Lepisosteus oculatus: one gene and its partners. The protein of the gene in region 2 purifies or fractionates together with the protein of the main gene of each other region. This does not show direct contact. Links are inferred from orthologs where the notes say so. Each region holds a gene or a part of one and is shown on either strand. Other genes may lie near its edges.

Region 1 (7,448 bases), on a different chromosome or scaffold from region 2:
GTTTTTTTCACTCCCGCCCGAAGGGAAATTGAAGGAAAAAACTTCATTCCCGTTTGTAAACCACAAGTTTTCACTGTCTCCAAAAGCGTTAGTGTTAATACTATCGCAGAGTATTTAGGATTACATTTACTTTTTTGTTTTTACTGGCATTTTTGATTATAGAAATATTCATATGTTGGATTACAGCTATACTGTTACCAACCTTTGTGCTTAGATGTCTCATGGTCTTGCTTTTTCTGTAACACATTGGCACATAATGCCTCTGTGTTTGTGTATCCAAATAATTATCAAATAAAATATTAGGAAATAAATGTCTCTGTGCAATAAACATATTTGTGACTGTACCAGGTGTCACTCGAACTGTTATGCAGAAACGGAGCTCGTTAAGAAACTACATAGGACAATATTTTCATCGGATTAATTTTTAAAAGAAGAAAACTTGTAGTTGGAATTGTAGAGACGTCAGTGCAATGAGAGTTGCTCACTGTTCAAAACATAGGAATAAAATGAGTTTCCGGAGAAGCAGTTAATTTCAGCGTATGTGGCACAGCACCAAACACATGGACCCTTAAGGCGCTGTCATTAATCATCACATAGGTACACCAAGACGTTCACTGAAGGGCCGACTGCTGTTTTTCTTATGTGCTTTCGAACACTAACAACAGCACGCTGTGATTTCACGTGGATCTGGAAGTAAAAGAACTCGGAGACGTTGTGTCAAGTATCTAGTCTGACCCCCACGTTGACACCACCAACCCACACAACCCCTTGGTCCCGATCTGCAGGGTCTAGACGGGTGTCAAGTCCACTTCAGTGAAAGGCGAGCTTTGCGACCCCGAGGACAAGACGTGGCCGCTCTGGGGAGTCACGTCACTATTGTAAGCGGCTGATGTTCTAGGTATATATGCTGTGCAGTCGTGGGGACGTACTTTTTCTCTCTAGAAGGCGGGCGCGTTACAGCCACTCACCAGACCGTTTCGGTAGCGCAACACCTGTCCGCCGCCGGCGGCTCCTTCTCACGATCATGTGCCGTTATAATGGAGAAGAATAAACGACGGAGGCAGAATACTCTTCCCTCGGAAGTACAAATCGATGACCTTAACTCCTCAGATCGCTTAAACGCTTACTCTCTCAGCAGCCCGCCTGAACCTCTCTTCTCGTTCCTGTGCCGTCACAACGACCTTTCACCCTCTCGCCTGTGAAACGCATCATTATTTTTAAAACTCAAAACTCTTAACATTTACTAAATTATGTTTTACACTAGATTATATGTTGCACTGTTTACAGCCTCATCTTGCATTGCATGATCTGTTGCGGTTTTAAGCAAGCTGGAGATACGTTGCTGATGAGATGACCAATGGCTATGTCAAAATGCTGCGGTAGAACCAGTATACCAATTGCAATAGAAATGCAGCAGTATTTATTATTAGAATTAGAAACATAGAGGTGTAAAAATACGTTTTAAGAGACGATGGGAGTGCCGATCGACTCTGAAGAGCTGACATGGGTTGGAAGATCATTCCACAGTCCTGGAGCAAAGGAGCTCAGTTTCCCAGAGTTATCCAGGAATTGGAGCCTTGTTTTGGAAACTAAAAGAAGGTCAGAGTCCGAGGAGCTCAAACGACTTACAGACGCAGCCAGGAGCTAAACCACTCAAGCCCCAAAAAGTAAGCAGCAGCATTTCAATTATCTTCAGAAATCGGCAGGGAGCCAGTGCGTGGAAGCTAAGGTCTGTATTTTAATTTTAATTCAGGGTCTGAACAGCTTCATTCTGAAGATATTACAGGTTGTTGAGAAAATGTTTGGATGCAGCAGAATGCACGACACTATAAACAAGTCTGGAAAAGACAACAGCGTGCATTAGCTGCTCTGTATCAGATCGAGAGAGATGCACACGAGGAAAGAGACACTTTCATAACATGAACTTCAGATGCGTCAAAGACGAATTCAGGTCTGCCGAACTGAGCACTTGAACGGGTTCCAGGACAGGTCAATGTGAAGCTGCTGCAGTGGTCGAGCCCATGAGGATGAGCCTATCAGCAAATTCTGAGGGCAGAGCTGTGGCTCTGTGGCTCGGGATCTGCGCCTGTGGCTGGAAGGTTTCTGGTTCATATCCCATGACTGGCAGAGGAATCCAGTGCTGTTTGGCCCCTGAGCAAGGCCCTTCACCCCAACTGCTCCAGGGGTGCTGTATAAAATGGCTGACCCTGCGCTCTGACCCCAAACTTCTCATGGAGAGCAAGCTGGGGTATGTGAAAAGACAAATTCCTAATAAAATAAATTGTATATGGCCAATAAAGTATTCTAAAACAAAACCTGTCAGAGTCCAGATAGTCACCCCATTTGCTCCTGCCCGACCTTGAGGCATCATCATAGGGTTGTTTATCTACATCACTTCTGTGAACGTTCCTCACCTTTTCTCCCTCATACACTGCTCTGGTACTTCCGCTCCTGTGCAGGATGTTGAGGCACCAGTAGCCTCTGTTCACAGCGGTTACGCGGAAGATTTATTATTGTAGTAGTAGTAGGAAGAAGACAAAGGGGCAGATGCAGAGCCAGTCAAATAAAAGCCCTTCTGAAGGAGAAGATGCTGAGTCTGGGTGTGAAAGGGCTCAGGGAAGGGGACTCTCTGACATCCTTGGGGACAGAATTCCAGAGCTTCAGGGCAAAGCAGGAGAAGGCCCTGTCACCCACAATATGTACACGGGCTTGGAAACGGACAGGAGACCAGAATTAAGACAAATAAAGGTTGCGAGGCGGGAAGGGGGAAGATGAGAAGTCAGACATTTCCTGAGGTGCCAAGCCGTGTAGAGTCGTATAGGTGAGCACGAGGATTTTGAAGTTGATATTGTGGTGCCCTCGCCTGGCTAAAGTGTGCGATGAAGGGCAGGACGGGAATAACAGCCAGGGCAGGGACTAGGGATTACACAACACCCTCTACCTCCAGGCAATGAGGCTGCTAAATAGCCAAGCAGCAGCTCCTTCAGCAGATCACCCGGAATGGCTACATGGACACACAGTTTTCATTGTATTCGGCATACTGCACTACTTTGATATAATGTACTGCATACACCCTGGGCACATCGCAGCTCTATTTATATATAATATCATAATTTATATTATATTTAATGCGATTTCTATTGCACTATTATAATGTAACCTTATTTTGTAACTTTAATTTTGTGATTTTTAAACCCTCCCCCCCCCCCAGTGAGCTCGTAGAAAAGACATTTCATTGCCAGCAACTACTGCTGCATGCTGTATTGTTGTGCATTTGATGAATAAACTTTGATTGATTGATTGATTGATTGATTGATAGGGGGCCTCGGGCCAGCGCCGCTGACCATCCGGAACGGCTGTACACTGTGTGAAATCACTGTAAAATAGTTATTCCCCAGTTCTGAACCCCTTTTATACCTGTGCCCACTGACCACCCTATAACTACCCACGTACCTGTACCTGAAATGACCCCCGTGTGGTGTAACCTGCTTTGTCGTGCTTTAGCTCTTGTGTGGTTGTTGCTGAACTGGACAGCCATTCGACTAACAAAGCGCTGACTGTTTGTGCTAAAAGAGCCTGAGTTCTCGTCTCCATCCTTGCCAAGCCCTTCGTGTTACAATATAGAGAGAAAATATTGTGGTCCAACATACGACACTGATTTTTTTTTTATCTAAACAGTTATTTAATTAGTAAAACATTAATTGAGATACACCCCAAGATTTAACCCAATAGCCTTCAGTCCAGAGTCTGGGGCCCAAATAGTAACCTCTTATTTAGATTAGTATACCACACATCAGGTGACTTTCCAAGCAATGCCATAGTGAAGCCAACAGAAAATTATTTGGAACTTTCATGTCACTCAAAAGTAATATTTAACAAGTGACACTGGGTATTTTGTGATATTACTAACCAGTCATTACAAACACCAGTTCCAAGCCTAAAAAATAAGGCTGGCTTTCTGCACGTAGCTACCTGGTTCATACCATGAACGTAGCGCAATGTAAAAACAGTATTAAGTGACCCCTTAAAACGAATTAGCGCCAAAAATATAAACTTATCTTATCATATAAATATTTTTAAATTTATTTTGGTCTAATTCGATTTTATTGTTACCCCTGCCGCCCTGGACACTAAACCACAATGGTACAGTCCTGAAGTAAAAATGAGATTTCCGAATATTGGACATTTTGAAACTGGGGCCATTTTGGATCCCACGGAGAACACCGCTTTAGGGTTGAACTGGACGGATAACCGGAGCCAAGATGGCGCTCAAAGAAACACAGTTTCATACCCTTGTTTATCTTCTGTAGAGGGGCGGATAACCCATTCGCCTGCGAAGGACGCGATTGGACAAAAGGGGGAAAGACGGCCGCCCGCTACGGTCCGAGCTAGTCTCTGATTGGCTCCAGCGGTGTCAATCCAGGTTCCCGGTTGTGGCTAGGGCTGCGTAGCGCCCGGTAGACAGGCCGTGGCTGTGTCTGGAGGTAAAATGGCGCTGACTCAAGGAACAAAGAAAAAAGTTTGTTATTATTATGACGGTAAGGGTAAAGTTTAAGTTGTATTTTCCTAAAACCCGGCCGGCGTAACGTGCACGCACGGAGATATTCGCCGGGAGGGCTGCGTTTATCGTCTCTTTTAAAGCCTTTTTTTGGGGGGAGGAGGAGGGGGGGGTGAGTCCGCCGGCCAAGCGCTCATAGAGCCATGCAGCATCTCGTACCCCCTCCTTCCCGCAGTAAGAGGGCTGCCGGGCAACGTAGTTAAAATCATGGCCAGGATAAGTTGAAGCGGGGTCTAAATTTGAATTATCGATGCACAGTGGTCTCCGGCGGCTTTTCCAGCGTTTGCATGCTGGTTTTCTTCCCCCCCAGTCCCGCGTCATACTGGCCATCATAATAATCCCGAAGTCGCCCGTCTCCCCCCGGCGACCGGGTTACCTGAGTCGGTAAAAAGACGGGCTGCTGCGTCCCTTTTATTTATTTATTTTTACCGCCCCGGAGGGGTCGACATGCCGCACACCCGGGGAGTGAAAAAAGAGGCTTAATTATTGATGCTGTGCGGGGTTTTTTTTGTTTTGTTTTTTGTTTTTTCCCCGGCGGTGGATGCAGCCGCTGTGAATCGATTTGCAGCGGGGCGGCGGGATGCGTCAAGGCGGGGGAGCGAGGTCTTCCTCTCCCTTGTGCTCGTTTGACACCAGCCCCCCCCCCCCCCTCTAGACAGGGCTGAAGTGGCCCCTCCATCAGGCATCTCCCCGCCGGAGAGGGGCTCCTGCGTGGGCTCGCTGTGTGGGGGCGCCTTGCCCCCTCGGCCCTGTCGCCCGGTGTGGCTTGACACGCACGGACCGCCATGGGTGGACTCGCTCCTCCGAGCCTGTAATAGTCATGCCAGGGCAGCTGGCCTTGCAACCACCGAGCAACAGCAAGTTGCTTAAATCGTTCCTTTAGTTTCTCCAAAGATGCACCTTTTTTTTTATCTCGGGAGGTTGGTTCGTTTTTATGGCAATAATACAGAACATGCACAATGAGAGGGGCAGTAAAGTCTGTAGGAGCAGAGGGGTGAAGATCAGAGCCAGTTCAGAAAAAGGCTCTTCTGAAGAAGCAGGTTTTTAGCAGTTTGCTGAGGGGTGTAAGAGAACAAAAAAACGATCAGTAAAATCTTCAGGCAGCAGTCTGGTTAGGATCCATCGCATTAATAAACACGCAAAGATTGTGGTATGTACCTTGTGTTGCTTATAACTATTCCTGATACTAACCCAGCACCTTTTTGGAGGGTGCACCTATCTTTTTAAGAGCAGTGTTTTGCCTTTCTTTGAGCACAGATGATAAGTGTACACAGAGGTGGTAGTTTGATGTCCTCTGAGGGTTTAGCTTGTGTCATATGTACGATCGTGGTGCTGACTGTAAAACTTGTGGCGCTTGGTTAATTCTGAACGTTGCCATAAAATGTAGGTTTTGGTCCAGTGGAGTTCATCGTGGATACATTATAAACGAAGGCCGATCTGCCCATCTAGTCCTTTCTCTGGTTGGTAGCTAATTGATCCAATGTCCTTATTCAGCTGTTTCTTGAAAGAAACCAGGGTTTCGGCATCAGCAGTATGACTTGGTAGCTTGTTGTGCACTCCCACAACTCTTGATGTAAAGTAAGACAGCCTCCTATCTGAGTTTGCTATGCACTTCCGCGTGTGACCTCTGGGTGGTGTTTCACTGCTCATTTTGAAGATGTCCTTTAGGATGATGGTGTCAGTGCCTTTGAGTATATTCAGCCTTTGATTCGAGTACAGTAGTGTTCTCTGTTCAAGACAGGTTTTTTTTATCGTCATGTATTCATTTGTGGTAGTGCTCTAAGCTCGTAAAACTTTATTTGTGGTTTTAATTACTGTTCTCAGTGTATGGTCTGTAACGTTTTCTGGTCCTCCAACATACCAGTGTTCATCTCCTAGATCGTTTCAAAGTAGATACATTTGTTTGACTGGCACATTGTTGAGGAATCTGGATTTTGAAGATGAATGCTTTTGTTTATGTTGCTGTTGGTTTCGCGAATGCCAAAGCAATTCTAATGCAGCTCCTTCCCATCTTCCCTGCCCTCGTAGGGGATGTTGGGAACTATTACTACGGTCAGGGTCACCCCATGAAGCCACACCGAATCCGGATGACCCACAACTTGCTCCTGAACTATGGGCTGTACAGGAAGATGGAAATTTATGTAAGTACGAGAGTGTTTCTCTCTCTCTCTTTTACTCTCAGGATAATGTTGCTGCATGCATTAGTAACTTATAAACCCTGTCCCGTCCCTGTTCCAGTTGTGCCAGTTGTGTGTTTATTTAGGGTTTCTGTTTGTGCTCCGGTAATGAGATAGGAATAAATAATATGGTGAAGTATTAAAATATTTGCCAAACAGACCTCAAACTACAGGGTTTTCGAGGGAGCAAATTGTAGTGGCTGTCCATGATGCCTTGTTAAAAGAGTAAATAATCTGGTACTGTTGTCATGTTCAAGCATTCATAGTGTTCCCATGATGCCTCTTTAGGTTTAGTTATTTGTTATGTTCAATATTCATCATGTGTATCTTTTTCACTCACTGATGACCATCAATGTTCCTCAGTTGCGAGAGTTTCATAAAGTTTCAGACTTGGTATTTAATCTTATGTATGTTTTTTTTTTATTTCTTAATGGACTAAATGTAACACAAAGAGTACCTCCTTTTATTTGGCAGGAAAGCACGTTTCCCATCTGGGACACCGAAGGAAGTAAGGGAAGGCTGTTGACATGGATGGGCTGCAAGGGTCCTGGTCCCAGGACGACCCTGTCGGGATTTTGGGAAGTGCGGCTTCTTTCCGTGTGTTCACGTTCCCGTTCCCCTGTCTCCTTAGCGTCCGCACAAGGCGAACGCCGAGGAGATGACCAAGTACCACAGCGACGACTACATCAAGTTCCTGAGGTCGATCCGCCCGG
Region 2 (7,770 bases):
ACGGCCCAAGAACAAGTTGAGCTGTGGTCACAGGTTTAAGCCTGAGTCTCGTCATAGGCTGGCTGTGAACAGGGGCTAAGCATTGCTAAGTGTAAGCAGAGAGTAAATCGGTCAGGGCTCTCAGTTCTCCGTGACCCCTGCAGGCACTCGGGTGCTTGCTGTCAAGCTTTGGTCAAGGTGCCTCTCTTCCAATCGGCACTGAGCCTAAAGAGTAGAGGGCGGTGTGCCTGTGACATATTCAAAAAAAACGTTTTTAATGTTTTTTTTTTACTCAGACAGGTCAGAGGACTCAGCTTATACTTCATCATTCTCCCTTGTGCAGTGGCAAGGTAAGTAGGGGTGAGCCCAGATGTAAAACAACACACAATTTGGAATAACCAAAACTGCAAGTATAGCAAAACTGGCAATTCTAAATTTCTAAAAAAATCGCTATAAAACACTGCATCCAAACAAATACTTTTGCCACACTGATCAAACTGCACACAAGGCAATAAGCTTCTTCCTTGAACAACAGCTGACATCAGTATATAAATGAATTTAAACATACATGGATCAAATCAAAGGACTACTGCTGTCACGATACAGAATATGATTTTAATCTGTAATAAAAAGGCTAAAATAATAATTATAACTTGTAACGTTACTGTTTTTGCAGAATTTCTTATAGATTTTAGATCATATGAAAAATATGCTTCTCTGAAACAAACTTTCTACAGAAATTGAGCATACAATAATAATTTGTGGAATTTCTGACCACAACTGTGTCACAACAATAGACATTTTCCTGTAAGCAAGTAAAAATTAACATTTATACTCTTTAGCTCATTAAAATGTCTATGGCAAAGAGACTATTCACCAGCAAGCTATGTAAACAGCTAACTACATTCCTAAATCATTTACACTTTAGTATATTAATAGCAAAGATACTAATTTACTTGAAATCCAAAGGGTGTGAATAATATATAGGATCAAATCTTACATTTGCTGTGTAAAATAAGTTTACAATATTTCAAATGAGTTAATGCAATATTTGGACATGCTGCTGACCTGAAATTCAAATTGCAGTTAATCTACAAGATCCAACACTGAGGAAATTAAAAAATCAACTCAATACATTTAGAATGCTTACAAAGGGGGTCATTTTAAGGAATCATTTAACCTCTGTACAACAAATCTATACTTATCTAAAATGGAGGGGAAAATAAGTAGAGTTAAATACATATTTACAGTCAAAACAGACTCATCAATTCAAATGAAACTGACAACTCCCACCCGCCAAAAAAGAGTATGCATTCTGGCCCCTCCTACCTTGCTCTGACTAGCAGATGCTGATGAAGCAGACTGTGTTTTAGTGGCTTCAGTTTCTGGTTTCTTCTCCTCTGTTGCCATGGTTACTGAGCAAGTGAATCAGATCTTCGGAATAGGTGCCAGAGCAGCCAGACGATCACAACTAAAAATAATAGAAGCTTGTTGTTTGCGCCCATTTAGTAAAAAAAAAACATACACCAAAACCAACAACACACACCAAAAGACACATAATTCTTATTTCATTTGCCCATTACTTGTAATTGAAACAGCTTCATTTTCAAAACATTTTTGTTTCCAAAACATGAATCTTCAAAATTAATATGTCTTATACAGATATTTTTAATTCAAGCATTGAATGTTCTTTATAAAATTGTATTCCATTTTAAAGGTCTGTTGTAACATTTGTACATTTTGTACACTGCAAAGTTCTAATACAGAAAGATGCTATGAAATAGATTTAAAATCTTTTGTGGGGCCAGGCCTTTCAACTGGACATGATAACTGATGATGATAAATATGGTTAATTATTTTCTGTAAGTCACAGAAATCAATGGCCATCAGTCATTAAGCTGGTTGGTTTAAAAACAAACTGAACCAAGGTTGTAATGCTTATGGTACTGAGACCTAAATAAGGCTAGCAGGTCAATTTAAGGTTACTGATCCTGCTTGTTGTATTTCACAACATAAATAAGAAGCTAATACACTAAGGAACGTTTCAGCTTCGCTGTTATGCGGAAGAGATAAAAATGAGCATGAATGACATGTCTTCACATAAATAATACAGTATATAAATCTACGTACCTAAACTACATTATTTGACATTCATCTTTTTTGTGAATGCCACCTGTATGAAGCGTGATCAAATCAAAACGTTACGGGTGAAGATTTCACCAAACCGGAATCTATATACGGTTAAAGTTTACCTTAGGAGGGACTTCAGCAGAAAGGTAGGTGAAATCCTTTAAAACAACACCTTAAATGGCACGAATTGGAACCTTCAGAACAGAATTGTTACCTAATGTAGCAACTAACCTTAAATCTGTTCACTTCAAATTGGCATTCAGGCGACAGGCTGCAGTACTGGAGTACGACAGTAAGAGTCGTCGTAATTCATAATTTACCTGCCCATCTACAACAACAGGACTACCGTAGGCTATAAACCGGGTACTCCGTTCTGTTTTTTTTTAATATAAAAAAGTCCACTAATCAAAAACACATAAGGCTTCTCTTACTCACAAGCAACTACTGAAGTCTTAAAAAAACTAAGATTATAGGTTAAACTACTTAATCAGTTACTGCGGCCTGGCACAGAAAACGCCAAAGCATCACTCAAAACCAGACATGCTTCCTTGATCACACCGTTCGAGCACATTTTTACACTGCGATTTTAGCTTCGCGTCTAAAAATCTCAGACCACTGCATTTCCACGTCTGCAACCCATCCCCCCAGTCTGCGTTAAAACCAAATCATTCAGGATTTTTTTTCCTTTCTTTGCACATGCATATTCTACTCCTTCCATTCAAACAATAAAAAATGCGCACCTACTCGCCTCTCAAAGGTCGTCTTTACGGTCACCGTTCGTTTTGTCACCAAATCGACGTCTTGGTTCGCCTTGCGAACCCTCCCTTTTGAACAATAACTGGAATATTGTCCTTCTTCTCTTTCTGTTGCAATGAAGAAGCTGCAGCTTGTTGGCTTCAGAGCTCAGGCGGGGAATGTGGCGACAGACGCACAGTGCGCATGTCCGCACGCATGAACATGTACTATATTTACGGCAAACAGGAAGGGACAAAAGTGGCGAGTAACTTTGCCGAGGTAAATTTAGTGAAGGACGAGAAAGCTGGGAAAATAACCCATGTGTGAAGTTGTAGGATCTTGCACTTCTTTCTTTTTATACACATTCCTGATTTCATTACATAAGACTATATTATTAATTGAAAGCTTATTTTGGTTGTATGTGACAAACTCTTAGCACTGTTCCCTCTGAATAACATTATGTCTGACCCACATTTGTTTTGAGACTTTTGATTAATTCCTGTGCCTGAACATTCATGATGTATATTATTACCATAATATTACCTCCCCAACTCTTTCATTTATCCTGTATCTTCTTGTGTTTTAATTCTTCACCAGAATTCTTCTTTCTGGTACCTGTAACATTGTTGTCACCTGCTAATGTTTTAGCTTCTGTTTTCTTTATTTTTCTCCTAACACTCCTTGCATTTAGGTACAAACACTCAAGTTGTTTATCTTTACTTTCCATGTATCTTTTTTTCTTCTTTAAATTCTCCCCCTTGCAATTGTAATGTAAATTACTATGAATCAAAACAATCTGTACCCTTTTCATTCAGATATAATCCTCTACGCTTAATTTGAACTGGAGCTGAGCTCCAGTACCATTTAATTTGAGACAGTTTGCACTTTACTTATATATATCCTTATCATGCGAAAAAGTGAACTTGCCAATTCATATCTTAAAACACATTTTACAAATGGTCAACGATTTCATCTTGGTGACTCCTTGAGTACATTTTTGTGCCAAATCTATATCTGCTGTTTCTGTATGAATACATACATTATACATGAGAAACATGCATTAAAAATAGATTTGAAGCTCAAAAAAGTGTAAACTGCACACTCCAGTATAGTTTGTCAGGGGAATGATATGGCACGTTTTGTGTATTCTAATATTGTGTGCTCAAACCTGCAACGATACTTTCCTAAAATCTAACGTGATGTATTAGATGAGGCTACTAGTTTGAAGAAATAAAGTGTGTTGATCCTGTTACTCACCTGCTCTTCTATCTATTTAAATCATGGTTTATGGGAAAAAAAGATGAGAATTTCACACATCTATTTTCTTCACGGGGTTGCAGGAGACCATTTGCAGGCCAGACACACACAAACCAGAACACCCAGAGGAAACCCACACAAACACAGCGAGAACATACAAACTCCACATAGTTAGCACCCCAGGATTTTAACCCAGGCCCCAGTGCTACAAGGCAGCAAAACTAGCTATTGTGCCATTGTGCTGCCCACAGTTTTGTCCTTAACTTTATTGATATTTGTCAAAGTGATTACCTATGGGCTATATACAGTATTGTCTATTGGGAGATTATACAGTGAGATTCAGGAAACCTACAGATCTGCCAAAAAGCCCATCAAAGAGTAAATGTTTCAAAAACATAACATGATTATGGTATTGGACATGACTAGTTAAGAAATTCTATTTCAATTTGATCCATAGAAGAATTGTGCTACTTATGCTAATGTCATCTGTCTCAATATGAGTAATAGCCACTGGGTGCTCACCTGTCCTTGCTAGATGCCCATCTGGTAGCCTTGAAATTAGTGTTATAGCACACTGCTGTTTATGTGAGGTTTCATTTGCAGTGTTCATGAGAACACAGTCTCCAACAATCAACCCTTCTCTTTTTCTTGTATTTTTCCTGACGCTGACTGGAATTGTCATGGCTGATATGTCTGTGATGACAGAACTCTAGGAACTACAGCCTTGAGTTTCAAAGACTCAACTTCCCTGCCTGTTTCCAGATCCTCAAGTGGAATCATTTTATTTGGCAACGTCATGTTAGGTAGGAGTATTGGGTAGGAATGTAGTATTCTTTAATCTTTCACAGTCTGGGACCACCTGCTCTCTGACAACTTCTCTACATTGGTGCTCTGTTGATCTGGAGCGACTCTGAATGAAGGCCTTACCAGTTTCTCCATCTCATGTTGCTCTTAGTTCCTACAGCTCCTCTGAGTGCACTACATGCAACAAATTCTGGCAGTTTTATCAGATATAGTTTAGCTATAAGGACCTATTAGAGATGTTCTATTTGTTTTACACATTTCAAATAAGACTTAGACTAGTTTTATGTTGACTGTTTAAATGTTCTGAAATATATGTACCATATACAGTTATTAATGACTTAATCTGGACTCCTTTTGAAGGAATCCTTGTCCTTTGGGTGTGTGGTTCTTCGAGTATTGGCTCTATGATAATCTTGACACAGTATTAAATCTTTGTCAAATTAGGTATACATCACTGGCCAATGTTATGACCGTTCGCTTTGTCATCTGAATACCTAAAGCAGCACACATTTTAAATCTAAATTTCTTAACCCAAAACCATTGACCAAGACAAACTAAATATTATTTAGCAAGATTAGATTACACCATAAAGAACAGCTATAAGAAACAATGTTTCTTGCTTGTGCCTCTTTTCCTCTCGTAAAAAAAAATCCAATAGCTTTGCTATTATCTTACCTCCTCTCCCTTTATATACATTGAAGGACCCTGCATGACTCATTATTGACAGTACCTGTACAGACCACTATATTTTGTGGTAGACTGCTGATGACCAATTGAAACTTTATGAGCTGGAAAGTGCTGAAATCATAAACCGCCACTGTTTGAGAACAGACTACATTGGAAAAAACACAGAACACAAGAAATATTTGAATGGAGACAAAGTCATCTTGAATGTTTGTTTGTTGGTTGGTGATTGATATGAGGACCTTGTCCTGCAGATTTTTGAAGAAAGGCACAATCAGTCCTGTTTTGTTTGATATACATAGTTCTCAGTTCTATGTATACCATCCTGTCTCCTCCTCCTATTTATGTTTCCCTGAGGAAGTCAGTAACTTGGACCATTCTGAATACTTCAATCGAATCTGTTCATTATCTTCAAGGCAATGCAAAAACCAAGAAGGGAATCAAATATTATTATAGAAGATGAAGTATGAAGTATTGCTGAATACATGCAGATTGGCCGATGGGACAGGCCCATATTGCAGAGTGTCCAAAACAAAAGGTTTTTGAAGCCAGAACCTTTGCTCTTTCTCAAGCAAAATCTGAATAAGGTCTCTTGTTCAATTATTTACTCTTTACCAAATGGGCTAGACAGACCTCTTGTTTGTAGCCACCCATCCATTTTCTAACCCCTTCATCCAATTCAGGGTCGGGGAAAGCCGATCTCAAACAACCAACGTGCAAGGCAAAGTACACCATAGACTGGTTGCCAGTCCAGACAGCAGGGCCAACTTTATCAGAAGCCAGTTAACCTAGCATGTTTTGGAATAGTGGGAAAAAACCAGAGCACCCAGTGGGAACCTACCCAGAGTAAACATGCGGAAAACATACATTGGTGCTCTGTCGATCTGGAGCAACACTGAATGAAGCACTGCAAAGCAGCAATGCTAGACACGGCACCACCAAGCCACCCTTCATGTTTGTAACCTTTCTTATATTCTTATGATAAAAAATAATTTTAACTGTGAATTTTCAGTAATACGAGCAAGAACACAGAAAAATATTTTAATTTTGTCCCCTGACAGTAAACACTGCACATAGAACCACTATATACTGAGAGGCATTGCAAAATTAAACAAGGGAATATTGGAACATTGGAATATCGTTTTTTTTCAATACACAAACTACTTATACGGGTACAAAAGTACTGGAGTTAATAAGTTTAATGCATCATGGAATGCAAATATGAACACCAGACTCCAATTTTGTGAGCATTCTAAGTATGGTACCATGTAGATTTATTGGCTGTAAAAAGATGTCTCATGCCTCTTCAAGCCCAACTGGTCCAAGAAGCCAATTGGTAATTATTTTTAAATTACCCACTTAAAAGGAGAAATGAAGAACCGAGAATCACATCAAGCAAGATGAAGAACAGGTGGTCACACTGCAAGCAGTCTACCATCTGCTATTTGGAAGCCAATGTCTATTAAGCCAGTTTTTCTGTCAGGCTTCCCATTTGGACTAAAGCTGTTAACCAACAGTTTCACTTAGAGTAATATATATTTTTTGTTTGCTGAACACATGGTATATCAAAAATGTTAACATATTACTGTAACACTTAACAAGCCATTCTGCATCAATGTTTTTGTATAGGAGGTGAAAACTCATTGTTCATTTAAAAATCCTACAGATTCTGTCAATACTTTGATAAACTGAAAACTATGTTCTCACACAAACACGTTTTTCTCGTTCTCCTCCATGCTTTAAAAATCGTTTTATACCTGAAAAGATTAACGTTAAAAGGTAAATTAACATAACAATTACAACATTTTCCACGATTAAAAATATACATCCAGCATCCCATGACTGCAATATTAAATACTTTATCGATTCCACTGTTAGAGTCCAGAAGTGATCTTTCCTGTAGTACTGACAGCTCAGAGAATACGAACTTCGCAATTACACAAAACTAGTTTTGGTAATGACTGAAGGAGAGTAAGGGTGCTCAGCACGAGTTTCAAAATAAACTCGATGTCTTTGAAGGAAGCAACCAGATCGTTTGACTCGAAAATCAATAACACCATCCGATTACAATACAGCGTAATCTGCGTAAAAAAACTATTCAAGCAGAATAAAAAATCTATCTTTCCTTCTTCTCAAACTAGAGTACGACGCTAAGCTTTGTTGAGTGGGCCAAGAAACACC
Region 3 (7,667 bases), on a different chromosome or scaffold from region 2:
GGACAGTCTTCCCCAACATTGACTATAAAAGAATGCGACGCATACATTTCGGGAGGTTAATAGTTAAACAGATCATGCCTTAATAGCTCACACTGTCATCCTATAAATAGTACAGATAACTCTGAATACCCAGAATGATAAACATCTACTAACATTTCAGACGTGTTCGTCAAAGACAAATGGACGTCCACGCACATGTGGTCATATCAGTCACTCAGGTTATAATATATAAACAGTATTGCAATTAATAGTATAATAGTCCCCAATTTCCATTTTTTATTTTTACATCTTAACTACAACCAATGTACTGTACAGTACATTTTGTAAACCACTGATTATTTTTAATTCTGAGAATATTAATAGCATCTAGCAAAACAAGTCTTGCAGCCTCACCAATACTTGAAGCAGCAAGATCTTGTTTAAAAACAATTATTTGGTTAATAACTGAGCTGGATGCCTTCTTTCTTTATATTATCGTCCCTGAACATTCTCCGTTATTGGACAGCAAAACCAATTTAACAGATGAATCTACAGAAATACTATCTGCTAAATATCTATCAAAAACAATCAACCAGAGAACCAGACAGGAGAAACAGTTGTTTCAACTGTCGTTTTCTTCACGTTAATGATACCATAAACGTGATATGTCCAGGTAAAATGACAGCCAGTGATGTATTTAAAAATCTATATTCTATATGGTTTAGCTGCTTTACATAATTACTTTATAATTATAAATTAGGTATGATTTGTGATATAAAGACAAAAATGGTAAGCTAACCAAAAATAAGTAATTAACTCAGTAAGGTCTTTTTTAATTAGTATTGTATTCCTAGTCAGGCGCTAGAAAAAAACAACATCTGTAAAACAGATTTAACAGATTCTTACATAAGTTTTGCAATTAATCTACAGTGAAGTGTTTGATTAGACAAGATCTCAAACTGTCTGAAAAGTTGCAATGCTCACATCTTTGCATTTGTTTGCTGAATTCAGACATGTTTTCTGTTCTGATTGATCTGAGGAACTTGATGTAATCATCACTGTGGTACTTTGTCATTTCTTCAGCTGTGGCCTTATGAGGTCTCTGCAGACACAAAAATGAACATAATCCAATCAACAGAGTTAAACACAAGACAGAAACAAGAAATAAATATCCCAATGGCATTTTAGTATCATACATACAGGAACAATATAACTATGTATATAATAAATATATTAAAATGCCAATATTTAAATCTACATTATAATGTATTTACAACTGATCAAATAGTACTAATGCTCCCTTATTTATTTATTCTATTGCTTACTTTCATAAAGAATTTTGCTATCCTAAGAAAAAAGAGTCCAGATATATTACACTATGAACCTACACACTGAGCGGAATAAGAGCATTTTCACATACTGCTTCCGTGGCTAAAGTACATCAGTCCTCTGCTTTAGTGTCTGCATGATAACTAATCATAGAGGTATTTCTCTGTTTAGCAGGTGCCCTGTTCTAAGGTGAATTTTCATTGTAATACAAAGTTTAAATGACCTGTAAGTAGGAAGGAAACAACAGGTACAACAACATGCAAATTGAATAAAATGCACACTGTAGATAAGTGAAATGGCAATAATGCTGACTTGTGAAGCGATGCTTGGCAAACACTTAAAGACAGCAATGCAACAGACACATGTTCAGCGGAAGTGTAATCTGTCATTACACTTCAAGACTTACATAGATTTCCATTTTCCTGTAAAGCCCATAGTTTAAAAGCAAGTTGTGGGTCATGCGAATTCTGTGAGGTTTCATGGGATGCCCCTGTCCATAATAATAGTTTCCAATGTCACCTGAATAATAAAAAGTAAAGGTTAACAGACAAAACTGGGCATGACTTATTCAAATTCTTCGTATTGAAAGAAATACAAAACTCTTTTATTAATAAACCATTCAGTGCCATTTATTTCTAAGATGTTAAGGGACACCTTTTCCTGCTGTGGACTTAAGTCCACATTTACATTTTGGCAAACAAATCTTCACTTAAGAGACGCAATAATTACAAATTAAACGATGAAGATTGTTTTGTTGTTGTTGTTTTTTTGCGTCGGGCTCATTTCCATAACGCGAGGAGGCCACATGTCCTGGCGTCAACGTACTTTAGAGAAGCACAATCCGCTTGCAGTTTAATCACACGTAGGCAGGTATTAAAGAAAGCAAATATACGCGGGATAGTGTAACCGTTTTGGTGCTGGTGAGTAGCGATAGCTACATTTTCCGTGGCGTCTATAAAGAAAACGGGCGATACCTACTAAATCTGTAAAGAAAACAGCGCTAATGGCTCTGACGACGGAAGGAGACGGTTTTGTTTTGGATGAAGGCGGACATGCGCAGTGTATGGTTTTGTTTTGTTCCCGTCGCCACTAGGCCTTGGCGGCAATGAACAACTTCTGAGTATTTAATTTGATTCAGCACTGCAGTCGGGACACCTCGCTAACCTAACCCCCCCCCCTCCAAAAAAACAAACAACAACTTTTAAAACAGAAATTATAAACGCACAACTGCTGCGCAGTGGCCATCGTGCGTGATGTTTCTGTGTATTATTACGGCTGAGGTACGCGAAATGTTCGCATCGACTCTCGGGGGTTCAACGTAAAATCAGTTTCAAACGCGTTGTAACTTTCAATTATGCGGTTACAGTCGATGTAAAAAGAAATATCAGCTGCGAGACACGATTTTACATTTTGCGTTACATTTAGACACACTAAACCCGGCCACCCGTCTCTTGTCCCTCTCGTCTTCACTCGGCCCCTCTCTCATTGTGAGCGTCACCCCCGTCGTCTATTGTATAAATAATAACTGCAAAGCAGGAACAGGACTGCAGGGTCTCGTACCGTCATAATAGTAGCAGACTTTCTTCTTTAAACCGCCTTGGAGGGTATATGCCATGATTACTCTCTGATCGAAAGGTGATGTCGGGTCGACGGAAGCTGGTTATATTTTCGGCGGAGAGATAAGGAAAGACGGGGAGCGGGGCGGTACACTGACGAGAAAGAGGTGGGCCGTGTGGTGGTGGGGGTGTCTTATATCCAGCGCCGAGCATCGGACTGAATAAAGAAGACGGAAATATTCCAGCTGTCCATCAACACACTCTGTAACACCGACGGGCCTTAGTGCGTCAATCATTGAAGTAAAACAATATATTATTTATTGGTATCTCGCTGATCATTTGTAGATGGTGAAGCCACTTCTGATCCAGGGTTGTGTGAGGCTACTAACACGAACAGAAATAATTTTAGATACCAGTTATGCCGTCGTCAGCAGGACAAAGCACTATATCCAATATATGAATAAATGTGATCTATACCGGTCATGTTTTTGAAGTACTGTACTAACAGAAATAAAGTATCCGTCTGTACCAAAAAAAAAAGTAAAATGTAAAGAGTTAGCTTCTTGAATGGCAATTTAAGTGTCTTCTATAAAAATGTTATAAAAAGTGTTTGATGATTCTAATACAACTGGGATAGCTGTTGTTAAAATGATGAGAGCAATATTCAAGGGTCAGGCCTTTGTTACTTAGCAGTGCAGTAATAAAGATGTGTGAAAGTGCAAAGCCAAGTTAACACAGCGCATCCGATCTGAATTCTGATATCTTTTTTTTTTTACTGTTCTCATTGTATTTAGTAGTGAAATCATCTGGGAATCGGAAACCAATCAGTGAGAGTGAAGCGATTTGCCTATAATCTTATGGTATTTATCTTTTGATTTATAGCTAAAATCAACACAGATGGTTTCTTCGAAAGGAATAGTAAAACGGATCAGATGACACAAGATGAAACTGTGGTGAAGTGCCTTCAAAACCTAAAACAGAAATCATTCCTTTGGAGTCTGGAACAGGCTACCAAACCATGTTGTTGAAGCTGATACTCTGGTTTCTTGCAAGAAACTTTTGGATGAGACCTCTGGAGCAATTAGTTACCAACAACCTAACAGGCTAGACGGACCAGACAGCCTCCTCTTGCTATAACCTTTCACATGTTCTTCTGTTCAATTGATTGGGGTTTTATAGGAAACCCTTCAATCACTGATGTCTAAAAGCTTGGCACAATGACTTGTGATCAACTGTAATTACTTCTTTGTTACGTGAAATAATTTATAGATCAGTAGGAACTTACATTTTCAGTCCTCAAGGACAGGTGTTCCCTCAGCTTCACAAATTACTCATTTCATTGCTTAATATGTCTGGTCTATGCCAAAAATGCTTTAGAGAATTTTTTAAAAATACAGGACTGGGGCTTTCCAGGGTTAGGGTTCAGGTTTCCTGACATAATCTATAAAATACTGTGTATGAGTACCTAGTACTGTACAAATGCAAGTGCTTCAAACTTGAGTATTCCTTGGATAAATGATACCAAGTTTCTAAATGTCTCCCCTTACCAGGGATACCTCTTGATTCCAGAGCTGTCTGTTCATGTAGTTTCACAGTTCTCTATAGAACTTGTCAGACTCTAGACAGGGAATGGAAAAGTCAGTCAGGGCTCCCTGGAAGGAGCTTCAGTAGGTTTTGCTTTACTATTAAAATGGGTACTGATTGGCTGCCAGTTGTTCAAAAGCTTTAGTTCTTTTTCTTTCCCTGAGAAAATGGAATCGATCAATGACTCTTCATACTTTAAGCCTGTAGGCCCGTGCATGTTTCCTGTTAATCTGAGACCTCCACACGGATGCCCTGGTATGGTGCACCAGATAACAAAAGTCGTTGCATTAGGTCTATTAATTCACTAATCCATTATTGATTCCCACAGTGAAATAAAAATGAGAAACCTTCATTCTGAAATATCAGTCCTGGTGTAGAGAGGAGCTATGAGCCTAGTGTGCCTGAATGGAATATAAATGCTGAGAAACTCATTTCAAATGGTGCAGGATAGCTTTCTCAAAAAGCACATGATCCAACAAAGGGGCTCATAAGAAATATAGTTAGGGTTAAATTATTGAACCTGCCTCTAGGACTTTGTGTATTAATCTCAACATACAGCTAACCTTCATTGTGATCATTTATGTCATAATGAAAAATACAGAACTGCTTTACTGATTAAACATCTTTTAAAGCATGAAGGAAAGCTGGAAAAATAATACTTTTCAATTTCTGTGAGAGCTGCAGGTTCTGTATATGGGAACACAGAGTCATTACGTATTGTACTGTATAATGGTTTTCTAGACATCAGTTTGTAGTTGGAGGCTGCACTTTATCTGCGCTGTGTGATAGTCATTAGACTCATTTTTCCTCTTTTCAGTAAAAACACTTTAATAAAATTTTTCCCTGTCCCTCTGGGTAACTGCCTCAGTAAGATACTTTGTCCTATGACTAAATACTAAGCCCAATACGTAGCAGGACTAAAATATCAATGTAAACTTCAGAATATCATTGACTAATTATAACTTGGCACCCATGGGTCTCTTATTTTTAAGTTAGATTTACATCAGGCCATGCGATACCAGAATATACAGTAAATTATTCTGCTTCTTTCTGTGATGGAAGCTGACATAATTCAAAGAAAAAGAGACCTTCAGAAAAACATACAATTACTTTGTTGACATTTTTCCTGTGAATTTTCAGTGAAACATTACAACCTTCCCTACATTTGTACTTTAGTAAGTAGCAAAAAATAGAAAGGAATAGAATGTTATCCTTGAACTGTATCCAATTTAGTATAAGACATGCAAACCAAAAAACATAACCTTCATTGTTCCCTATTTGACGTTCAACTGCTTTTTACCAACTTGTTAATCTTATCATTTTGTGTCATCTTGTTAATCTTAATATGACAAGTTTCATGCATATACTGGTATATCATTAACCAGTCTGGATATAACTACATTCTTGGATGGGAAATTCAGTTCTCTATAGAAATATTACTGTGTCTATAAGAAGCAGAAACATCATGAAAATTAAATTAATTCTGTACCATGCAAACTACAAAGGAAGAAAGAGAGATTGATTCCATTCAAAAGAAAGAAACTAAGAAAATATTTGCTTTATACTTTTCAGCAAAGAGCTAACCAATACTTGTTATATTTTGCTTTCTAATTTCTGCACAAACACTAATCTAATTGGATTACACATCAGCATACAGTGCTTGGCACAGTTTTCAGATTTTGTTGCTTTAAAGCCTAAAAGTAACAATTAATATTTGTTATATACACGACCTACTCCACACATTCTAAGCAAAAACAAATAAGTAACTTTATAATTAATATGAATGAAAAATGGAAAGGTGATGATAGCATAAGATTCAAACCCTTTCCTGTGCAAATGGAAATGAATTTACATGCACAGTATTACTGTACCTGCGCGAGCCACCTACAGTAATTAATGGTTTCAGAAAACGTGCATTTGGCCACGTAGTGAATTTCAGGCAAAGACTCAACCATGAAAACTAAAGCACTTTCAAATCAAGTCACAGGTTAAGTCTTTGAAAAGCACAGATATGGAAAAGGGACCACAAAAGGTTGAAGTCTTTGAATACCTGCATGAACACAGTATAATATGGGGAGAGTTCTTTTTCAATGGTATTTGCTATTAAAACCTATAAATTTATATTCCTAAAAGAGCAACATGCTTATTGCATATGCAGTTTAGCAGTTTCTAGGAAATCACATTATATTAAATTGATTGAATTTAAGTTTCTTGCATATTTTATTTTTCCTGCAAAATCTGGATTTTACATGAAGACATCCATCCATTTGATCCAATTGAAGGTCACTGGGGTGTCAGAGCCTATCCCAGGAAGCAAACCTGGATGACATGCCAGTCCATTACAGTGCAGACAGACACAAACACAGACACACCACACCAGTTCGTTTAGATAGGGTATGTCTTCGGATTGTGGGAAGAAACTGAAGTGAGCAGTGAAAACCCATGCAAATTCAGGGAATTACATACAAACTCCATGCCGACAGCACCTCAGCTCTGGAATTGAACCCAACACTGCGAAGAACAACGTTAACCACCGTGTCACTAACTGCCCAATTTAGCCTTTGTCATAATGACAAAAAAGTGGCAGCACACATTTTTCTTTTGAGTAAAAATAGTATCAGTTCATTGTTTTTACAACGTTTTCAAACTCCAGGACAGAAAAAAAAATGAGCCAACTTAAATTTAGGTCACACAAACATAAATTATTCAGCAGTAATGGAAGTGTCAGGTGTCATTAAAACTTTACTTTGTTATTTTTTTCCTGTGATTTTTATAATATAAAGTTATAATATACATGTGTATAAAATGATTTATAAAAAAACTAGGTAAACTTCTTATGGGCCCATCCACAATTTCAACAAGAAAACCAATAATCAAACTCTTAAGAAATTATGCAATTTGTGCAATTTAAGCAATCCAAGCAATCTTTTAAATGACAGTAATAGAAGGTTTTTAGATATTTCCTGACACATAAACTGCTGATTAATAGATTTTGATCTTTGGGGAAGGCAAACCTGAAACATTCTTGTCACTAACATCATACATGCAATTATGAACTTGTGTCAGTGCCTGCCATCCTGAAATTTCTAGATGATTAATATTTATCAACAGGAGGCCCATAATAGAGAACCTTTGTGAATTGCCATGGATAGCTTGAGATAAAATCCAGTATGAGAAGAGTTATTAATCCTGCTGTAACACATTTAATTTGCATTTTTT
Region 4 (7,505 bases), on a different chromosome or scaffold from region 2:
GTACATTATAGATTGAATTTATTTTTTTACATATGGGTGACAGATTAAAACCTATACCAGATTATTATGAGATTAAATGGGTTATTATAACACGGTTTATGTTGCAGTGTGACAACAGCACTAAAAGAAAATTAACTTGGGCAGAAAATGAAGAAAAGATGTGTTTTGCTAAGAGAATTCCGCAAGATGCCAAAAGAATTAAACAGTTTTTTACCAGTATCATTAGAATAACCACTCAATATCTGTGCTTTACAGTGCTCACTTGCTTCATTCCAAAGCACATGCTTCAGTTTCTAAATCCCACATGCTATGATACAACTTACCTGTCGAGGCTCCAAAGCATCATCCAACCCCAGTCCTCGGATATGAGAGTGCGCCCCTAGGGAAAATGACCATACCATTGGTCCTCTTATCACTCTAAAGGTATTTATGCAGCACAAGTTGGATATAAGGACTGCAATCACTGCACAGTTGCAAATAACTCTACAGGAGCACTATTGACTCCAGTTCCTGGGGGGGCACAGTACACCAGGTTTTAAAGATAACTCACAATCCTCAATGAGTAAAAACAAAAAGACTGGGAACCAGTGTTAATACAGACTAATTATATAAATAAATGATTCAAATCAAATAGTCCAGATTGGGATGAAAATCATCCCAATCTGTAGCCTTGCATGACCAGGAGTGAATATCAGTACTTTACAGCAGTGGTTCCTAACCCTAGTCCTGAAGGAGCTTTGAATATTCTGGTTTATCCTAAAGTTGTGCTCCTAAGCAAAGGCTAATTGATCTCAGTCTGTGGTATATTAATAAATCTGTCTTTAATAACTTGTAAAAGGTCAAATGGGATTGACATTGTAATTCAGATGATTTGGCTTACATGTGACCAATAGGACCTCTGCATGAGGAAAAAAGGCTTACAATGGGCGTATCTGTTCATCAATTGTTCAACACGTAAGAACTGTTTAGTCATAACTAATGGAAAGTAAGTTTAGGAGAGGGTGCTTAAAGCTCTGTAGGCCGATGGCAAAATATACAGGGTATATTTCTGAAACACAGGACTGACCAAAGAAACATGTTAAAAGTTTTTAAAAAGTAAGCGGCTCCATTAAGTCATCAATGAGCACTACTGGAGAGCTGTACTGGAATGAACACTAGCACACAAAGTGTTCTCCCAGGATCAGAACTGTGCACCACTGCTCTTTAACATCACCCGCCAACTGTGTTTTAACTATGGGGCCAGCTGCTTACTTTCTCATGGTTTGTGACATTTTACATACACCTTCATACTCTAGCTCAATTATTCATCGAAAACTTCTAAAGACTTACCAATTCTCTCAATCCTGGTGATGTCACGCACCTCAGGAACCTTTGTTGTCGCCATCTACAAGAATAACAGAGTATTACTAACTCATACATTTATGCAAATCAGTCCTTCTGCTGAAAGTTAGTTGTTCTCTGTATACGTGAAAAAAGTGGCTTGATATCTAACATATCTCTGAACCTCAATGGGAGCTACTTCTTTAGATGTCTGGTTCTTTCAAGATGTTTTTACAATATGCCAAAGAAAATTGTCCTGCTTAAGAAGGAAATGCACAGTGCCCAGCCACTTTGTTTTGCTTTATAAGGGCCTGGATTTAATATAAATAAGTGAAGAAGAATAACACATCTCTGAATATTAATAGTAGCTAATTATCCTCCGGTACTTAAAAAAAGAGGAAAAACATCCCAAACAAAAACATATAATATAATGCAATTTTAAAATAGACACATAACTGAACACGCCCATACACATACACATTGTTTTCTTTATTGCTCAGACACCTACATTATGTATTGTCCATTATAAAACTTAAAATGACAGTAAAAAAACCTTTGGCTTTTGCAAAGTTCTCTGCATGTCATTTGGCAGTCTGCACCTTGAATTGTGATCAAGTTAGAAGCTCTACAACATGACCACTAACACTAAAGACAGGAGTACTTGCTTTTCACTTACAACCTAGGAAGACTAGAACTCATTCTAAACATTTATGTAAGAAAAAAACAGAATTGTCATTTGATCTGCTTTGACTTAATCCCATTAAGACAGCATAAACAGTAACCTATAATATAAATGACGAGTCTAACAGTAAACAAGGCCGAGAGTCCAAACTGAAGCCTGCACTGTTGCCATAGTGATTTGGCTTTCCTGGACGTTGCTATGGGAGCTACTCTGGGGAACGTCAAAAGTAAAACGTAGGGTTCAAATACAACCATAGAGATTGTTTTATTTTTGTGTCAAAATAAATACTAATATATCTAACTAGGCGGTTATATTTTGGAGCGCTTTTGCCACATTTTTGGTAGAAACACGTGATTATCAAGTTTACATGTTAAAAGAATATTGTACTGTTGTATTAAACTAACATGCGGCTACACTCTCCCCAAATCAGCTAAACCTTGGAGTACAGAACAGTATTTTAACGAAATAACAACTGACCTCGGTCTACAGAAAAGTATAAACGCAGAAACATTGCCGCCACTATTCTGTAACCACTCGGGATGAAATTACACCGGCAACAATCAATATGGCCGAATTGCTCATTCCAGTGTGGCCAACAAATAATTGAAAACCTAATCATCCACTCTGATATACGGTACGTTATGAGTAGACACGTACGAGCTTAACAAGTATCGTATTTATACTGTTTTCTAGTGGGCTGTTGGTTAGGCGGCGATTTACATGCTCTCGCGGGTAGATTCAACTCATCCTCATCTCTGGGTTGAACTTAATAAAAGCCATATTTTGAAAAAGCAACTCATAATAGTACGATGGCTTTAAATCTACTCCTTTCTAGAGACACTTTTTTTAACTCAAAAGGCAACGGACACTTGTAAGCTTCTCTTTTTATAAGCATGTTACTCACCTGCGCTGCCATCTTTTCGAAAATGCGGCCGTTCGTCTGGTCGCGCCTCTCAAATCCTCCCGATGTGGAAACAACAACGGAGTTGAGTAAGTGTTCCGGTTGAATAACTGTGTGAACGTGTGGATCCTCTTGTCTGAAGAAGTTTTAAAAAATCAAGTGAAGAAAAATAGAATGAGTCCGAAATATATAGTTATATACATGTGATTAAGAAATTAATGATTACAGATTTATTTATCTTAACAAATATTAGCAGTCTCTGGACGCAAACACATCCCAAAGCTCACCTACTCAAGTCTGGTACAGACAGAGCGCCCTCTTTTAAGATCCCCACTTGGTGTAGGAATCCGATGTAAGGTGTAGCGCCAAGCTCTCAAGTATAATAAACACAGGCAGCAACATTAGTGTTCAGACACAGAACCTGCTCAACCATATCTATACTAGAAGCGTTCAAAGGAAAGCATTTATTATTATTTTAGTAACAAATTATGCCTCACATCCACTACACTGCCAATTTAAAACAATATATCTTCCGGACGGCGTTTCAGAGTATCAAAGGTTACAAAAAACATTTAAAAGAAGTTATTAATTCCGAGTGCCTTCACTCTTTTAAACCCTAATGTATGAGCCCCTTCAGAGCGTATATATGCATGCAGTTTAGACTTATATTAATCTTAATATTCACTCTCTACTCTTATGGTTTTGTACTTATGTTTTGTTTATGTATTGTATTGTTATTAATATTACATTGATTGTATATTTTCGTAAAAACCACTGGATGTTTTGGGAACTCCATTATATGTGGACAATAAAGTAGGTTCTGATTTTTCACATCTGTAGCAGTAAGGATGCACTTTCAAACCGTATTCGTACACTGCCATTGAACACAAATAGTTGTTAATAAGGTTAATAATTAATACAGCTGGATATTGCCCCTTCAAAAGAAACGTAGTTAAAAGTTGAGAATTTATCTGTAGTAAAACCAACATAAAAAAAACTCCTTTGATTTGGGGTGTTTGAATGCATTTAGAGTTTTGTATTTTGCTTTTGTTCCAACTCACGGGGAGATGTATATGTACTGATGGGAAAAAAAGGAAATGCAACATTTTTCTGAAATGTGAATACTAAAGTTAAAGCTTATGTACGTTCACAAAAAGTTGTTTTTTTTTATTATTGCTGAGATTTTTTAGATTGCCCGTCTCCTTGAATAATCCGCGATTCTACAAAACTTTCGGGCATCACAAATGTGTGATTTTTGTGCCGTGTTCCAGCTAACTATGGCAGAAATCGAGAAGCTGGTGTCACTGACAAAAAAAAACACATGCCGCAGTTTTAGGTTGGGTATGCGTTTCACTTTTCCGTGCTACGTATCCATATTTCGGAAGGAATTGTTAACCGACTGCATTTTACGTATTCAGGTAACACAGCCGCAGTAGTTTATCCAGGAAGAGGCTACCTGAGTCCACGGGCTCGATTTGCATTACCGCTTGCCGAAAGAGAAAACCACGGTATGCAAGAGCCAGGCAGGAAGTGAAAGTAGTGAGGATTTGCACCGTGCAAATATTGAACACACCGTATTGCCGGGCCACAAGAGTCCGCACATGACGACGCTCCATTACTGGTGAGTATTTTTGGCAGAAGCAGAAATCATAATCATGATGCCTTACTACATGCATGAACCGGGTTTAAAATATAGAAATAAATGACACACGGATAAACTGTGTTTTTATTGGTACATTTAACATTTGTGACTGATCGGTTATAAGAATGTATAGCTTAGTCTTTAATAAAAACTGACAGATATTCAGATTTTATAATTAACAGGAGTAACTCCGCAAGCGATGCAAGAGCAATTCACAGCTATAAATAACGTTAAGTATTGGGCATAAACCTGGTATGGGACTTTTCTTCAGTAAACAATTCAAGTAGCAAAAACGTGAAGTACTGTATAAGAGATGAGAAATGCTGAGGTTGAACTACCTATAGAGGCTAAAGGCGTCCGGGTTGACGTTTTTCTTTTCTGAACATGCTGGAGAAGCAATAAAGGCTTACTGCTTGAATATTTGTAATATTACGTGGAGTTTGAACAGTCCATTAAGATTTCTAATACTGTATTTTAGTTTCCGGGTTACAAAAAAACTGTTCTTCAGCATTGCCATCTGGATTTTTAATTATTTAGGATGAGGGAGACCTGTAGTCATTTTTTTAAGAATTCCACGTGTGAACTTCTCCATGCGGGCATAGCTGGGAAGCAATCAAGACATTTCATTTTGGGGGACATTGATGCCCTCGTGTGGCTTCAGGCGGTAATACAGGCAGCTTCTCTCGTTACTATGCTGCCTGTCCACAGTGTTTTTAGTCTTGAACAATGCTCCGAGTGCGGAAAGAGATACAGCGAGTCGGGTGCCCTCAAGGAACACCAGCGCACTGATACGGGAGAGACGCCGAACTGCTGCACCCAGTGCGGGAAGAGCATCTCATAAGACACCAGCTTACCCACACAGGGGAGAAGCCGTGGTAAAACATGTAACGAGTTGGTTACATTAAGTTACGTTTTTTTGTTACTTAATGGACAGTGTAAGAGAAGATGAGTGATCGAATACTTGTTTATCAAATCACACAAACACGGGGCGAGTATGCAAACTCCATCCAGATAGCACCCCAGGAAATGAACCCAGGGCTACCAGGGAGCCATGTTTATAATAATAGGTGGGTTATTAGTTAATGTATCAGCAAAAGCAGTGTCATAGCAATGTGATTGTTGTTCTTGTTTCCAAAGCTGTCTAATTTCTAAATAACTGCACTTTGCATATAAGGACGCAGTTCATGTTAGCCTCTTCTTTCTCAATACAAATTTAACAATTTAAACAATAAGCACTGTCCATCAGCTCCAAATCAATTCAAAATGTTGAGTTTCAAGGAGAATTGCAAGCTCCCAATTGATCATTTTACTGTTTGTTTTTTTTGCGTTGGATCGTGCCTCAGTTCTGAATACTAGTGTGTCTCGCTTTTTAAAGACTGTGCAAGACAGGATAAAGATAGACAGCACCACTGACATAATGTTCCTTTTGCACAGGATATTAAGAGGGAAATGCAGTCCTATTCCTGAAGAGCCACTCAGCCAGGAATGTTTTGATAGTTCAAAGGAGGTTACAGGGCTGCTTTCTGTCAAAGTGAGAGCAGAGCTGCCGAGTTGAAGACTTGATTGAACTGAAATCTGTCACCACAGGGAAGAAGGACAGAAGCCCTTTTTAGGGCCTGTTGTAGTGCAGCTGTGGAAGAAGGTTTTGATCTTTCTCCATGACACGTACTAGAAACTAGCTCTCAGCACAGAGCTCCTGAGTGGGTTTTAAGTTACTGCTTTGGTGGCTGATGCTTTTATTCCAAAGCAACTTCAATTTGTCCCCATTTACTGAATACAGCTGTTAGTTTGCACCATAAAGAATATATATTGCTCAAGAGGTTTGAACACACAGACTTTTACCTGCGATTTCCTAGTCTTTCCCACTACTCAACACTCCTTCCCAGGTGACTAGATGTGAGAATGACTAGTAATCATCTTATTTAACTGTCGCAGTTTAGGAGATAAAGATGTTATAGTATGTTTTCTAACAGTGATCATCTACTGTGGCACCATGGTGGTGCAGCAGTGAGCATTGCTGCCTCACAGCGCTGGGGCCCTGGGTTCAATTCCAGAGCTGGGGTGCTCTCTGTGTGGAGTCTGCATGTTTCCCCATGTTCATGTAAGCGTCCTTCAGGTGCTCCAGATTCCTCCCGCAGTCCAAAGGCATACTGGCAGCTTAACAGGCTTCTGGGGAAATTGCCCTGTGACTGATCTGTCCAGGGTCCATCCTGCCTTGTGCCCCTTGCTTACCACCATAGACTGTAGCTCCACAGTGAGTACACCAGTCAGTCCTTCCCTCTGCCCCTCAGCCTGCAGGCATGACAGGAGCATTTGGCTTCTGGAAGACATGGAAGCTTCTGGTTCTTGCTTTTTAAACAGTCGCCTGACCAACCAATTAACTTCCGGCAGCTGGTCAGGTGACCAGAGGAACCTGGTGAATGTGGTCCTGGCAGGGCTGTGCTCTCGCGATGGGTAGCCAGCACAGCCACACCACTGCTCAATAGCTAAAGACTTGGACGCAGTGCTGGGAGAGGTCAAATGACCAAGCAGTCAGCAGTTCAGTTTAATGTCTCTTCTGATGGATGGCACTTGAGACCTGCAGTGTCCCCTGTCACCAAACTGGTGCATTAATCGCCAAGACCTCTTATACTGTACAGTCTACATTAGTCCTGGCAGTCCTTGTGAGCTCTATATCAAGAAAACGTTTTTGCATGTACTTATATTGTAAAATATTTATTTTTTGATGAGCTGTAAGTACACAACCTCTGCATTTCCCATAACCTGCATACAAAATTAAATTTAAATAAATTTTCCCCATTTTTAAAAGTAAAAGAAGCATATATCCAAGCAATATTTGGATTTCTGTCAGACTGGGCTATTCAACTTGCATTGTTTTAGTCAGCACCATTACTCAAGCGTGCTGCAACTACTTGAACATCTAAATAAGGAGCAGAATGATCAATAAAGGAGCAGGTCAC

The links.
Region 1: the proteins of wdr5 (region 2) and hdac1 purify together in Homo sapiens (affinity purification with mass spectrometry; 8 studies listed by BioGRID and IntAct, counting the BioPlex papers as one, with this or other methods). This does not show direct contact. The link is inferred for Lepisosteus oculatus from reciprocal best matches to the Homo sapiens genes WDR5 and HDAC1.
Region 3: the proteins of wdr5 (region 2) and histone deacetylase 2 purify together in Homo sapiens (affinity purification with mass spectrometry; 7 studies listed by BioGRID and IntAct, with this or other methods). This does not show direct contact. The link is inferred for Lepisosteus oculatus from reciprocal best matches to the Homo sapiens genes WDR5 and HDAC2.
Region 4: the proteins of wdr5 (region 2) and ruvbl2 purify together in Homo sapiens (affinity purification with mass spectrometry; 3 studies listed by BioGRID and IntAct, with this or other methods). This does not show direct contact. The link is inferred for Lepisosteus oculatus from reciprocal best matches to the Homo sapiens genes WDR5 and RUVBL2.

The regions. Positions count from the first base shown.
Region 1 is NC_090706.1:3,431,021-3,438,468, forward strand, and holds the start of hdac1 (histone deacetylase 1), read left to right. Parts: upstream 1-4,426; 5' UTR 4,427-4,489; coding exon 4,490-4,538; intron 4,539-6,586; coding exon 6,587-6,699; intron 6,700-7,366; coding exon 7,367-7,448. UniProt on the Homo sapiens protein: Histone deacetylase that catalyzes the deacetylation of lysine residues on the N-terminal part of the core histones (H2A, H2B, H3 and H4).
Region 2 is NC_090719.1:7,051,040-7,058,809, forward strand, and holds the start of wdr5 (WD repeat-containing protein 5), read right to left. Parts: upstream 3,049-7,770; 5' UTR 2,854-3,048; exon of another isoform or gene 2,850-2,853; intron 1,451-2,849; 5' UTR 1,390-1,450; coding exon 1,309-1,389; intron 1-1,308.
Region 3 is NC_090697.1:5,943,664-5,951,330, forward strand, and holds the start of histone deacetylase 2, read right to left. Parts: upstream 3,032-7,667; 5' UTR 2,924-3,031; coding exon 2,869-2,923; intron 1,828-2,868; coding exon 1,715-1,827; intron 1,082-1,714; coding exon 964-1,081; intron 23-963; coding exon 1-22. UniProt on the Homo sapiens protein: Histone deacetylase that catalyzes the deacetylation of lysine residues on the N-terminal part of the core histones (H2A, H2B, H3 and H4).
Region 4 is NC_090721.1:2,744,392-2,751,896, reverse strand, and holds the start of ruvbl2 (ruvB-like 2), read right to left. Parts: upstream 3,013-7,505; 5' UTR 2,919-3,012; coding exon 2,907-2,918; intron 1,385-2,906; coding exon 1,330-1,384; intron 380-1,329; coding exon 324-379; intron 1-323. UniProt on the Homo sapiens protein: Possesses single-stranded DNA-stimulated ATPase and ATP-dependent DNA helicase (5' to 3') activity; hexamerization is thought to be critical for ATP hydrolysis and adjacent subunits in the ring-like structure contribute to the ATPase activity.